3 linked regions of the Schizosaccharomyces pombe genome follow. The protein of the gene in region 3 interacts with the protein of the main gene of each other region in a biochemical or structural test. Each region holds a gene or a part of one and is shown on either strand. Other genes may lie near its edges.

What was found.
Region 1: the proteins of rrn7 (region 3) and tbp1 form a complex in vitro, tested with the Schizosaccharomyces pombe proteins (one study listed by BioGRID).
Region 2: the proteins of rrn7 (region 3) and cka1 form a complex in vitro, tested with the Schizosaccharomyces pombe proteins (one study listed by BioGRID).

What each region holds. Positions count from the first base shown.
Region 1 is NC_003424.3:4,413,174-4,417,667, reverse strand, and holds tbp1 (TATA-binding protein (TBP)), read right to left. Parts: upstream 2,190-4,494; 5' UTR 2,122-2,189; coding exon 1,919-2,121; exon of another isoform or gene 1,664-1,918; coding exon 1,603-1,663; exon of another isoform or gene 1,551-1,602; coding exon 1,290-1,550; exon of another isoform or gene 1,220-1,289; coding exon 1,049-1,219; 3' UTR 517-1,048; downstream 1-516. Other genes in the region: SPOM_SPAC29E6.09 (uncharacterized protein), read right to left, coding at 1-198; SPOM_SPAC29E6.07 (uncharacterized protein), read right to left, coding at 2,494-2,844; SPOM_SPAC29E6.06C (cysteine--tRNA(Cys) ligase Crs1), read left to right, coding at 3,749-4,494. UniProt on the Schizosaccharomyces pombe protein: General transcription factor that functions at the core of the DNA-binding multiprotein factor TFIID.
Region 2 is NC_003424.3:2,149,677-2,154,739, reverse strand, and holds cka1 (serine/threonine protein kinase Cka1), read right to left. Parts: upstream 2,704-5,063; 5' UTR 2,587-2,703; coding exon 2,541-2,586; exon of another isoform or gene 2,481-2,540; coding exon 2,200-2,480; exon of another isoform or gene 2,197-2,199; intron 2,042-2,196; coding exon 1,729-2,041; intron 1,668-1,728; coding exon 1,366-1,667; intron 1,273-1,365; coding exon 1,216-1,272; 3' UTR 517-1,215; downstream 1-516. Other genes in the region: 3'-5'-RNA exonuclease Mpn1, read right to left, coding at 3,139-3,354, 3,398-3,560, 3,612-3,810, 3,858-3,956, 3,996-4,116; alanine--tRNA (Ala) ligase Ala1, read right to left, coding at 4,659-5,063. UniProt on the Schizosaccharomyces pombe protein: Catalytic subunit of a constitutively active serine/threonine-protein kinase complex that phosphorylates a large number of substrates containing acidic residues C-terminal to the phosphorylated serine or threonine.
Region 3 is NC_003423.3:2,755,398-2,760,179, forward strand, and holds rrn7 (RNA polymerase I general transcription initiation factor subunit Rrn7), read right to left. Parts: upstream 2,887-4,782; 5' UTR 2,586-2,886; coding exon 2,475-2,585; exon of another isoform or gene 2,411-2,474; coding exon 908-2,410; 3' UTR 882-907; downstream 1-881. Other genes in the region: protein Spc24, read left to right, coding at 108-261, 309-644, 775-881; tif512 (putative translation elongation factor eIF5A), read right to left, coding at 3,364-3,837; GARP complex subunit Vps52, read left to right, coding at 4,242-4,782. UniProt on the Schizosaccharomyces pombe protein: Component of RNA polymerase I core factor complex (CF) that acts as a sua7/TFIIB-like factor and plays a key role in multiple steps during transcription initiation such as pre-initiation complex (PIC) assembly and postpolymerase recruitment events in polymerase I (Pol I) transcription.

The DNA.
Region 1 (4,494 bases), on a different chromosome or scaffold from region 3:
TAGTAATGTCTCCACATTATCATCCTTTTTAAATACTTTTAATTTTTTTTCTGTGGGAATTGGTTTTGCTGATGTTTCATCCTTAAAATCATAATCTTCATAAACTCTTTTATTCGCCTGGCTGTCCGATGTTAAATTCGACAATTGCTCTTCAAACTCAGTCCCTTTAAATATCACTTCAGGAAGTTCAGACAACATTTGGTTTTTTTTTATATGTAAAAAGCGATTATATTGCAAATCGCGACTTAGTTAGATGTTGGCTGCTTCTGCTTGCTATACAAACTCATTTTATTACTCTTTTTTTAGGTGCCACAGGCTCGTCGTTATTCGATTACCGTATTAGTGTTCATGTTTACGCATTTCCTTCTATTAGCGCTATTAAGAACTTAAAGTATTTTACAGGAACAGCAGATACTCAGTTCCTTTAAACTCCATAGTATCATAATCGTCTAATTTTCGAATGGAATCAATACTTTTTAAGAACTGTCGATATACGCTCTTCAGACTAAAACCAAATTATTTCAATTTTTAAAAGATTATTATTATTATTACACGATCATGAAAAAATGAATTATACAAAGCTATACAGAACATTGTACCGATTTGGCCACCAGTCCTGAAGCTAGAAGATTTAATGAAGCAATGCTCAACTAATGTTTAATGATAAACACAGAGGAAAACAAGTAGTATCGCGAAGACACTTGCACGCACTTTTAAGAGCACACATTCATCAACTGCAGGTTTTCAAATAAGATACGCAATTTCAGCCTCTATAGTTTTCTTGAATAAAGCTGTGTTGCGCCGTAAAAGAAGAAACTCACAGATCAGTTTCTGATTTTGAAGAAAAAACTTTTCAAAGGATGTCTCTATCATCTGCATCATATAAAAATACTCATAAATGATGACTTACAGTGAAGGGGATTCTCCGGAAAGCTTTTTAAGGGTTTAATGTTAAAGATCAAAAAATAACCTGACCCCGACTAAGGTCTTTTACCCAACAATACCCATGAACATTGACACAAAACTGTGTGATAACTGTTGACATGCCTTAATGTTTTCGAAATTCAGACAATACTGGATAAATGGCTTCAAAAGCTTGGTAAATTTCCTCACGGACTTTCGCACCAGTTAAAACAATTTTACCAGAAACAAAAATCAATAGAACAACTTTTGGTTTTACCATGCGATAAATCAAACCGGGAAACAACTCAGGCTCATACTAAAAAAGAACAGTTAGATACTTATTCGTCTTTTAACAGCAACAACATCTTTAAAGATGATGAACTTACAGATGAGAAAGTACCGTGGGAGTAAGCCAAACCTTCCAAACGAATTGGAAATTTAACATCGCAACTTCCTACAATGTTCTGAATCTTAAAATCCGTGAACTTGGCATTAAAACCGAGTTTTTGGATGATACGCGCATACTTTCTAGACGCGAGCTTGGAGTCATCCTCGGATTTGCCACCCAAAACAACCATTTTACCAGACGCGAAAATCAATGCAGTAGACTTGGGTTCACGGATACGCATAATAACAGCGGCAAAACGCTATGTTTGGTCAATAACAGACCTCAAACAAAATTAAAAGGGTTTAACGTACTTTTGGGTTGTATTCTGCATTACGTGCATGTAGCGCAATAGTTTTGAGATCAAGACGACAGCTATTTTAAGAGGATTATTAGTAATAAGGTCTAATTTGCTAACTCAATGGAAAATTTTGTTAACGAGACGTATCATCCCCTGCGGTCATTGCCTTCGGAAATCTCGTGACATGGTAGTTAAATATAAACAAAACAAAAATCAAATAACCATTAACAATCGCTCTTACCCAAACGCCATGTCTATACAAAAGATTTCCGATGAACTCACCGCGACGGCAATACGCCTTGTTCCCTATCCAAAGAGGCACGACTTACTCTAAGTTTACAGTAGCAACAATATTTTGAAGGGTTGGAACAATGCCAGATACACCTTCATTTTTTGAAACTTCTGCATCCCCGGAATCTGCCGTCTCATTTGTAGCCTCGTTATTGGCATTGGGGAGAACAGGGAACGTTAAAGAAGAGTTATTCATAAAGGCACTCGCTTGCGAGGCCGTGGTGGGTAAAGCGAAATCCATTGCAGTAAATCAATTATTATTTTACGCTACTCGTAGAATTGCGTTATCCCACCCCTAATGGAAAGCCTGCAGGTGACGGCTGCTGCACTTATTTATATATACCCGATCTTTCAGGGTTAGGGTTTCTGAGTGTTGTGAAACCGCGGCGATGGCTGAATAGTAAAGAAATGCGCGATTTTTTATTTATAAAATACGTTTTTACAACTTTCTTATTAGCTTCTATGTATAAATTTCTCGTTTACAAAAAAAAGTCCTTCAAACGCAATACGAACGAGATATAGACGAAAATGAGTATAGGAAGTGCAAAATAAAGTACCGCATTTAGTCTAGAAAAGCTGAATCAAGCTTTGGTATAAAATTTGAACAAAGGCACTAGCTATCTAACCAAGTAGTTGGTTGCTGGCGATGTAAATTTTTTGTGTGCGCAGGTGGAAGGATGGTACGGAGTGAGAGCTGCGTCATATGCCCTTTCAGCAGTCTCGACGCTAACGCTTCACTGTATTTTGTTATATGGATTAACGCTGTTGGTCGTGTCGTAGTTTTTATAAACAAAGGAGAGGTGTTTATTCTCACGTGTAGTAAATAAAAAAAATATACTATAAACAAACATTGAGGGGAAAATAATCTAAGTTCAAAAAAGAAACTGAAGCATTTTCTTTTATTTTTTAAAGTCTTAACATCCTGAAAATCTGTAATTAGCGTTTCACGAATATAGTATTCCATCGCTACTTGTTATTTTATCATTCAATTAATAAAATGTGAAATTGCAGAAAGAAAATATAAATCGATCTGAGTTTTTTTTTTTTTTTTTTTTTTTTTTTTTAATTAAAGAAAACAAAAACAAATCATTAATCCCTCAAGTCTTTATAAGGGTTTTCTTAAACTATAAAAGAAGTATTTGTTTTAAACGGTATCCAAGAGACGATAAACCATTGTTAGTCTTTTGAGATAAATGTCATTCTTTGTTATAATAACCTCCTGATGCATATTAATAAATTGTTCTAAAATATGATTTCAAAGTTTCTTTGTTAGTAATTTAAAGTATCCTTTACAGAAAGAAATAAGATAACATGATATTTACTTTTTGAAATGTAAAATTCAAATTTTTATCTAATATCAATAACTTGACAATGTCATTCAATTAAATGGCTTTAATGCAAAAACTATAGAAGATCTGTAATGAAGGCAGAAACATATGAGGACACCAGAGTTGTTTAAATATTTTCGATTCAACAAAACTAAGATTAATACGGATAAGACATTTTCAAAGCATATCAATTGGTATGCTGAGATGGAAACCAACAACTTATTTGCAATAATATCGTCAAAAAAAAAAAAAAAAAAAGATGAAATAAATCTATTGGCTACTTTACTAGTTTAATATGAGGAAAAATATAATTAGGTATTGAAATTTTGTTTTTATTTTTTGTTTGCAAAATGTTTTTGCTTGCTTAGTTCAAGTACTAACAATAACCTGTAAAATTGCGCATCAAATACTCCGTTATCTTAATTCAGGTTATCCTGCCAAATTTTTACCCAACTCAACGACAAAATAATCAAAATCACGATTTTTAAACTCGTGGCTCGTTGTTTCAATAGTTCTAGTCGCTTTTTTAATAAAAATCTAATGTCGACTAGAAATCCCGCTCAATCGCATTGGGGTGTTCCTAAAGGACAAAGAACGGAGCTCTATGTATACAACACCTTAACTCATAGCAAGGTGCCTTTTGTTTCAAATGGTTCCAACTTAACATGGTACTGCTGTGGACCTACGGTATATGATGCTAGTCATATGGGGCATGCTCGTAATTATGTGACAACTGATATCCTTCGAAGAATCTTACAATCTTATTTTGGATATAACATTACATTTGTACAAAACGTTACTGATATAGATGACAAAATTATCCTTAGAGCTCGTCAACAATATTTATTTGAAGAATATAAAAAGCAGCAAGGTACTAACAAATCCCATTCAGAAGCTCGTGAAAAGGTTACTGAGGCTTGGTTTGCATATGCCAAGAAAAATCTTCCTGAACCTCCCTCCTCGATGAGTGAATGGCCTCAATGGCTCGCATCCCATGATATTCCCACTTTAGCTATCAACAATCCCAAGTTACCCATGCATGTGGATGCTTTAAAGTCTGCTTTGGACGCTCTTCAGGTGAGTGAAGCTTCTGAAATCATTTCTTTGGATGGGTTTTGGCCCAAGGTACAAGATGTTTTGGTCCCATTGCTTGATGCAGAATTGGGTAGCACCGTGACTGATCCTGCAATCTTTCGTAAACTTGCAGCTTATTGGGAAGATGACTTCAACAAGGACATGGCTAATCTGAATGTCTTGCCACCTACTGCTGTTACGCGAGTTTCGGA
Region 2 (5,063 bases), on a different chromosome or scaffold from region 3:
TCAGCTTGATTGAATTTTATTTACATTCAAGGATGAAAAAGCAAGAGAGGAAGAAAGAAACTCACCTTAGTTGCAATGCAATGATAAAACACGCTGTTTTAGGTGTTGTTTTGGTAGACGATACACAAGTTAACCCATTTATTTGGATCGTAGCGTAAAGTATTTTCTAAAAGCGAGAGATTGAGCTACCGCGTTATAGTGTTTTATACTTGTTTTACCATAAATACGCATAAAGCGAGAGGTAAACTACTCCTTTTTTAACAAATTTGCCTGGTTAAACAATATACTTTACCAAGTAAGATAAGTAAAGTTGTTTTTTCCGAATTCAAAGATCACAACACATTCTTTTGAATTAGATTTTGGTGCAAATTTTGGCATGCTGACTGAGGTTCAAAAGCAAATACTGTTTCATTTGGAATCAGTGTTGAATAAATGCGAATTCCTGTAAGTTCATCCCTAGTTTATGACATTATCATTTTTTTTAATATGATGAATTCTAATATGTGTTAAATACAGTAAAATGAATTTACAAAAGGCAATTGTTTTGAGCATTGAACTTCAACAAGTTCAGGATGAGCAGCTGCGCAAGATTAACGCTACAGAATAAGAGGTTTTGTAAGGTTGCTCTCTAATTAAGGCTTTACTTTTCATTCATGAAATATCGCATATTCATTTCCATCGCTTCTTTAGATTGCATTCATTATGCATAATACGCAGAGTTACTTACTATTAATAAAGCTGTTAGGTACCTAAAGAGGTAAAAACTCGTTTAAAGTATTAAAGAAAACTATAGAATTGGAACCTGTTTAGTAAGCCCGATAGCATTTAAAAATAAAAAAAACTCTAATTTGAGTAAGGGAAAGCAATAGACACAGACACTATGTAGACCAAGTGTCTAACGAGTAGGTACGGGGAAAAAGTAGTGGGAAGGCTCCGCCACGTGAAAGCAATATTATAGTAGGATGTACTTATGCAAGAACCGTTTCGAGGAATCGTGTGGGAGATGATAACGTTTGGGCAAGAAATATTAGCTTAAATTATCACCGACGTAAATGAAGAGGAATACTCAAGTCTAATAATAAGAAAAGAATAATAAAACATGAACCAGAATTAAAACTAGAATTGGATTTGGTTCATTTTTATGAAAATGAAGGGAACTAGTAATGAAAAGGCTGTCCGTAGAGATAATTGAGTTATAGTCCCTTCCCTCAGTTCTTATTTGAGTACTTGAAAGTACGGATGGGCCATAGCTTCTTGACAAGTTAAACGCTCCTATGCTAAGTTAGTAACTATACAGTATATACCACTTAAAAAAATAAGTGATTGTATAAGATCCTGTAAAAACCTTCAGGTTCGGTAACTTACTTGATGATCATAACGTAATAAACGATTTAACAGATCGATTGCTTCATCATTGGCAAGCGATCTGTTGTCACGGTTGACAAAAGAATACCAGTCCCGCTTGGGATACTGACCAAGAATATTATCGTATTGTCGGTCCAGCACAATCTGGTATTTTTGTACGTAAGCGAAAAGTTCATCAGTTCCCAGAACTTTGGCAATTTTAACTAGCTGATCATAATTGTCCCGCCCACGGAAAAAAGTATCTTTTTTAAATATCAAAGCAGCAAACATGACACCAAACGACCAAATATCCAAGGAGTAATCTAAAGTTTGGTTAGGAAAAAAGAAACGTAAATATATTTAACAAAAGTGGATGCAACTTACCATATTCTCGAAAATCTACTAACAGTTCTGGACCCTTAAAGTATCTACTGGCTACACGAACATTGTATTCCATGCCAGCATGATAAAACTCGGCCAGACCCCAATCAATTAGCCGTAACTTCCTTTTTTTGTGATCGATCATAACATTATGAGGCTTAACGTCACGATGCATTATACCACGAGAATGACAGAAATCCAAAGCTTTTAGCAACTCGTAAGAGTAATAACGAATATCATAATCAGAAAGAGTAGGGTACAATGTACGGAAATCAATATTGTCAACAAATTCAAAAATTAAAGATGGTGTTTTACTCTATAAAATATTAGTATCGACAAATACAATAGTTTGATGGATATCAAACGTTCAAAAGCCAGAGTCGTATAAACTCAATAGACGGAAAAGCACAAAATTTCTTCTCCTTCAAGTTTCAAGACGATTCAATACAAAAAGCTTTTTTTTTTTATTCTTACCTCTGGATCGCGGACAATGTCAAGCAGTGAGATAATGTTAGGACCTCCGGCCAAGTTCTGTAGAATCTTTATTTCACGCTTGATTTTCTTGTACTTTACAGGCTTTAGGACTTTGATGATGCATTTGCTGTTGTTCAAGACATTTAATCCTTCGAAAACTTCACTATATTTTCCTCTTCCTACTTTCCGAATAATTTCATAATTGTCCTGATATCCAAATACCTCCTGCATGTTCTCGTAGTCCCAGTATTCACGGGGCATCTCCTCATTAACATGAGCATCTAAATCTAATTAGTCATTTGTTATCCTTTTTTTATAAATTTGAACTTCACAATACGTACAAACCCGGGAAACTGAGACGACTGGAGCCGCTTCAGTCTGGTTCATTGTAAGTAGCACCTTTCAGCTTTCACGTTTTTTTTTCTTAGAGTGCTCCCTCTATGTTAATGCAAAATCCTTTATATGAAACGGAACCCAAAAAATTTGTTTAGCAAGCTAGCTGGTGAAGGGCAGGTCTTGTGTATGCAAGTGCAAAGAGAGTGCTTAGTGAAAATTAACAAAGTGTTTTAAGCTCCGTTACAAGCAATATAGCAATATAAACAAGTTAATGCGCTATATGGCTTAAGTTTATAAACCAAACAAGTGAAAATATAGTTATGATATTGTTTTCTAGTGAGAAGAAATGTAACAAAAAACTGATAAACGTTGCAATCAAAATCCGATCACAGAAGACGAAAATGAGTATACTAAAGCTTCTAATAAGGAATTTTTTTGAAATTATTCTTCCTTCATACGTTTTAGTCCGCATGCTTTGTAACAAAACTGAATGCAATTGCTAATGATCACTTTTTGTGTTCCTAAGACCAATTGATTTGAAGCTGAGCATATTCTTTCGTAAACGAGTATTGTAATAATATTATTATCGCCCCAATTAATAAATTATTTACAAAATGGAAAGGTAAATATTAGATGTCCAATTGACAACTTTAAGCTATCAACGATAAAACTTTCAGAAAATTGATCTTTTTGAATCTTTGTATTAATAATTTCATTCATCGTTTTAAAAAAATGGGACTCTCTGTCTTGACTGACCCAATTTTGATATTCGTCTTCATTTGTCAACGATGAAGCAAAGGATATGTGAAGTAAAAAGTCCTGGAAGGCGTTAAAATTGTCGCTTATTTGAACCTTTACTTACCTCTCTCAAATTCCTATTTGTAAACTCTTTCATACAGTCACTAGCATGACTTATTAAGTCTTTGTAGTTTTCGTCACTGAATTTACATTCGAAAGCTAGGAACATTCTTGTTTTTTCGTCATTAAATAGTAGACACATCTTTCCCAGTCGAAATTTTAAAGTTCTTTTTTAATATGTCAGTCTCAACAGTATGGATTATTTGTCCTGAGTATACCTGTAATTCAAATTGTTTGTATATTGTTCCCATTTGTGCACTAATTGGTTCTTAGTGGAATAATTTATGCGGTAGTTTTCAGATATGCTTAAATGTAATCTTCTTGGTACATTATGCTCAGAGCAAAGAAGCGATTGAAACCGACTTTGTGAATTCAAAAACTCACGAATGCCTTTTTTAACTTTCTTGCTCAAATCCACTATTGATAATTGTCAACTTTTTGTTAAATAAAAATTGATTTATTACCCTCCAAATATGTTTGAACAAACCACAATCCTTCAATATGCTTTTGTCCACGAATTCGACCCTCATGAAACTCAGGACTATCAAAAGTTTTTGGCTTTTCTAAGAATATGAGTTATCAAAACATTAAAACCTTCTTACTCTTATAAAGTTCGTGAAATGATTCTTGGAGCTTAGGGACTTTTAACATTCGGGGATTATCAGATATTGTCTCGTCATCGTCTTCTCCGGAGCTCGAACTCTCATAACATACTAAAGACATTTATTCTTCTATTTTTTTTTATTAATATAATAAAGATGGCTACTTTCTTTTCTCAAGGAATGGTGTAGAAATGGCCTGTAATAGTAATAGATATTCATGCAAAAATTTTTGTAATAGTTTGGTTATTAGTATGTATTCGAATAGACATAAGCTTTTGCTTAGAATCCCGATTTCATATGAACTGCAATAAACCTATCCTTTCACTCTTGAAGTCAGTGGTAGGTTTGTTCAGACTTGTACATATAAGTATGCTGTATTAGCGTGACAGACTAGCAGTAAATAATAGGAAATCGTGATCTTCAGGCTTTACACATAATCTTAATAATACAATAACACGCGGCTGGGAAATTGTAATTTTCAAACTATCGCTTAAAATTAAGAAGTGTTCATTGAGTAAACACTCGACGTTTAAGCCTACGATGAGTTTATGTATAATGATTGAAATTGTTGAGCAATTTTAAAATGCTCGGACTATAAAACAAACAAAAAGTTGAGCCTATGTAGAAGATAATGAAAGATAGAGTACAAAATAACGTAGAAACTTAAATCGTCAACTTCCCTTGAAAAAACTCAATCGCTTCCTCCACTGCAACGTCGATGGAAAGAGGTTTATCACCTACACCTTGGCAAGTATCACCTTTTCCTCCACTGCGACCGCCAATACTGTGACAAACTTTTTGAGACCACTCCTGTGGAGTTAACTTCTTCATGGCCTCAGGTGAAACAAGACATGCATGAGCAACTTTAGTATCGTCAGATGCTAACAAGTAAATACTTTTATCCTTCAAATTTTTCTTAGCATAAGTAAGGGCAAAACTTAAGGCTTTGGGATTAGCAGAAATAGGGACCTTAGCGACAACAAATGACATATCGGGATTTTCTTTAAAATATTCAGTGACGACGTTAACAACTTCTTTCTGCTCAGCAGCGTTGATAGCTTTAACATG
Region 3 (4,782 bases):
TTTACGGTAGCATCATTCGTACCTTTTCGTACGTTACGACCACGTTGAAAGTTTTCAAAGAAATTACTTTTTAAACACAAAAGAACATAAATAAAAGAGAAGTAAATATGTCAGACAGTCCAATTGAACTTATGCGGTCCACGCTTGCTGGTTTTCAAATTGCACCAGATGTGAAAACCATCTCAAACATTCAAGACATTCGCGCACAGATACAGAGCTTCAGAGAAAAAGAATTGGAAGGATCTCAAACCAAATTTAAAGGTTAGTTTTAATCTAGAAATAAACGACCATGCATTAACTGTGAATAGTGCTTTCAAGAAAATTAGAAATATCTACCCAGGCTATGGAGTCATTAAAACAAACAGCAGAGTCATCACAACACGCTGAGGAGATTTTAAGCAGGGAAAAGGAGAAATTTAGGATAGCCAAGTTGTTGAATATCACTGAGAACGAAATTATGAGTTTAGAATCTCAATTGCAGAAAATGAAGGAACAGCTACTACAACTTGAGGAACGCGAAAATACTTCTGAAGACATATGTCAGTCAGAGGAAAATGCGAATATGTTAAAGCTGAACTTTTATCATTCTTTAGGCTTCGATTTAGAAACTGCTGAGAACACTGGGAATAAAAGGGTTATAATACGTATGTCATTTGCTCATAATTTGAATTTACCTTTCAATTTTTTATCTTTAAAAAGCTTGATGATATGAAAAATTCAAGCTTTAAAATTGAACTTTAAAACTGTTTTTCGAATCTACTCACACTTTCCTAGATACCGAAAACGATTTGCAAACGGTACAAATCAGCAACAAGTATAGCCCATATTTTTATTCTAATTATTTTTGGGATTTGCTTGATGATAGTAAGGACAAAAAATAGATGGCACTATTATTTTATTTATTTATTTAATCTTGATTGTGTATACCGGTTTTTAAACATGACTCAACATAACGAATGGCCGCTATAAGAGAATCCAATTTGATATTATACAATTTGGCTACCATGATAGTAACCCGATGAGCTGTATTTTCTGTATTAGGTGAAAAAGGAAGCATTGATATATAAGCATCCTTTCGTCGTGAAAAGTCCATTTTATCAGACTCTTTAATGCCTACAGGTTTGAACACTTGTTCTAACTTTACATCTTCAGCAATGACGGATTCGTCGGTGAGTATATCTGTAGGTTGATTTTCTTGTAAATGGCTGTCTTTCGAAAGAATCGGAAATACGTTAAGAATTCCTTCTGGAATATTATTTGGGTTGTTTTCTTCGACAAACTCTTTTTCATACCATTGAAAATATTTATCCATTTCAGAGTTATTGAGCGTCAAAATGGATTGCTCGTCTATCTCGTAGAACTTGTCTTTTTCTTTCTCATTAATTTTTTGCACTTGGGATAACCACATGTTCCAGTTGGTTTTAACAGTGAACATCGAGTCTTTGTATTTGGAATTTCGAGTTTGGGCATCATCAAACCCATAACATACATTTGCTGCTACTAAGATGGTAGCGAGTAACATAACCTCCGCATCAGATAACTTTTCATGTATCGATTGAGCACTGCGTATTTTGCTTTGATAATTATCGCTAGAGGTACCTTGAAGTGAAATCTGCGAGTGAACGAGATTTAGTAAACGAGAAGCAGGTATGAAGATTTCTAAGGGAAAAAAGAAACTGTTAATAAGCTCAAAAAGTATCAATGGCTCATTAGGTGGAGGAACTTTTAGTTCGTATTTAGATACTAAAACGTCAACCAATGTCAAGACAGCGGATTGTATGCGTTGATACGTTGGATAATGAAAAGGAATTAGCATCCTTACATAGTTTTTTTGAAGCCTTTTAAATATTTTTAGAGGTATCTGTTTATACGCTCTATAATATGGAATAATATTTTTCCTTATTAAAACTTCGAGTTTATGAATGGTCAGAGGCAGTCTTAGTAAAAGACAGGCGACATAAATAAAGGCAGAAGAGTATAAAAGCCGAGGATAAGATATAGAATGCGACTGAGAAGTTTCCTTCGTTTTTCTTGAGCTCGGATCAGCTCCCGGTTGACTCTCAGGATCTATGAGATCAAAATCCGAATCTGATGATTCTGATTGCGTTGAATTTTGGTTGAGGGAAAGAAAACTAGAAGTAAATGATTCATAAGACAGGGAAAGGTAAAGCGCCCAAAGGTCACGTATCATGCCTTCTATTCTTTGGTCAAATCCGAGTTTCGTAGTTAACGCTTGACATTGAAGTTGAAGAATAATTTGAAAAGCCTGAAGATATAAGCTTCTACCAGCGGTACCATAAACAATCTCATCTTCATCTCCAGTGTCTAGATGGTTGCGAACAACCTTTCTTTTACGAGTTTGATAAAAAGTCCCTGCACCAGGTTCATCATCTTGAGCGATTTCAATTCCCTAAAATTTAACAATTTTATTAATGAACATTCATTAAAGCGCAAACCTATTAAAAACAACTTACATGTTGAGCATGACCACGACGACAAAATGTTTGACCTGCATTTTTAAAATACCAAGTACTTTTGCAGTTTCTTACAGAACAAGGCGGACCTTCAAACCAATTGCCTTCCATTGTAAAGGAACTGGATATGCAAATAGATGCAGACTTATTTAAAAGTACAAACAGTGAACTATAGACGAAGAAAAATAAGAGAACAAAACACTTAAAGGGTATTCAAGTAGGTAAGCATTTGTAAAAAGATCTGCACAGTTTCTAACGGTGTTGTTATTTATAAACTGCTATGCCAGCATTTTACCAATATTTTGGAAAGTATGAATCGACTGAAAAAACCTAACAGATTTTCTTTCAGCTGCGAAATACCGTTTATATAGTTTTGGATAAATCCTTCACAAATGTATCACAGTAGACTGTTAGTCAGTCAGTAGCGATAGGCAGTTTTTGAGATCTAACGGGCGCCACGTTAATACATATGAGTTGTAACGGCTTGGTAGATAGTGCATACATTGATTAACTATTGTGAAAAGCCATTATATAAAAACTGCAAGTCCACTCTAGATTATATATTACCTCGGGTATCCAACCTTGAGACATAAAGGTTGAAACTAGGATAAAAATTGAGGAAAGTTAAAATAGGCTGAAGAAAAGGTGCTACTGATACATTTAAAAGAGAAAATAACAGCCATCAAGCAGTTTGATACATACCCGTAGTACGAATATATAACCATAATCTAATTTATCTTAAAACTATCAGATATATAAGAAGTCTTACGTTTACAGATTCCAAAGAACATTCTATTTACAAAAATCGTTAAACAAACAATGAATATGGTAAAGGAGGAGCAAAACTTGTTTACTAAACGACCATTTTTAAAGGGAAGAGGGTTTATATTTAGGCGCTGGGAGCATCACGGCAAGCGAGAGCAATCTCTTCACCCATGGCAGAGACAACGGTAATGATTAAATCCTTACCCTCTTCAAAGCCCTCTTCAATTTCGTTGCCGAGTTCGCCTTCGGGAAGACGAACATCGTCCTTGGTAGTACCATCGGTAGTCATGAGGTTCAAGTAGCCATCATCAATGTTGACTAGTTGGTATTCGTCACGCTTGACAACAGGAACGTCCATGTTATGAGTAGAGGGAGACATATCTTCGTACTTGCGACCATTGAAGATATCAAGGGCAACAATGTGGACCTTGGCATGTCCGTGCTTACCAGTCTTAGAGGTGGACATGTCGACGATCTTGCAAGGACGGCCCTTGATGACGACGTGTCCGTTCTTACGCAAAGCAGAGCATTGCATAGGGAAGGTCAAAGAGGCACCGGCCTCACCACCCTCGAAATCGACGTGTTCTTCTTCTGCCATTGTTGGTTTATGCTCTTTCTGTATGAACATGCCCATCACTTTCCCATTTGTTAAATGTGACTACTTTTTCCATGTGAGATTGCTTTAACCCTACCCTAAAGCAACCAAACTAAGTGCAGTGAAGTAAAACGTAATACATGTTATTTGAAGTATACCTTTGCAACGTTAAAATTCGTAAAGTAACTCATCATAATTATTTGACGTATCGTTAGATTACATTAAATTGTTCAGGCTTAACACTGATGGAAGCGCCGAAACCAGGGTGATAAACAACACCTAAATTAAACTTAACCCTCCTTAACTTACCAAACTAACTATTTGCAGGATTATACCTTCCATTTGTTCTGGGATGCAGCTGTCACGTTGAGATATAACATCTATAGGTACAGTATAATAAGTCCGGCATGCAGAGAGCTTCTACCCAGGATGTTTATGATGGAAGTGGTGATGATCTAAACAAACTTGATTCTCTCAAGTCAGTGTTGAATGATGTTCTGAGCTCTTTGGAGCGATTCCAGGTGGATCTGGATGTCGCTACTAGTGATATCTACAAAGTCAGTGAGCGCTCAAACAAAATTCAAGTAAATTTAAACAATTTGAAGGCAGTGGAGTCAGCACTTGGAGCAGAGATTGATGGTGCGATTCTTCCACCTGATCTTATAAAAACCATATCTACAGGAGACATGGATCATCCCAGTTGGAATTCTGCATTAGAAAAACTAACTTCGTTTTTGGAAGGCGGAGAGGATGATTCATCTCTTGGTAACATGTTCAATTCTCTCCAAATTAACAAAGACCAGAAAAAACTTGTAGATAAGTTGAGAGATAAAGCAATTGAACGTATTAGAAACTATATAGTCGTTACTATCAAGATGTTTCGTCAAGCGTTTGTCGACGTGTTTCCAATCCGAAAGCATCGACTCATTGCAAATAAAAACTACTACC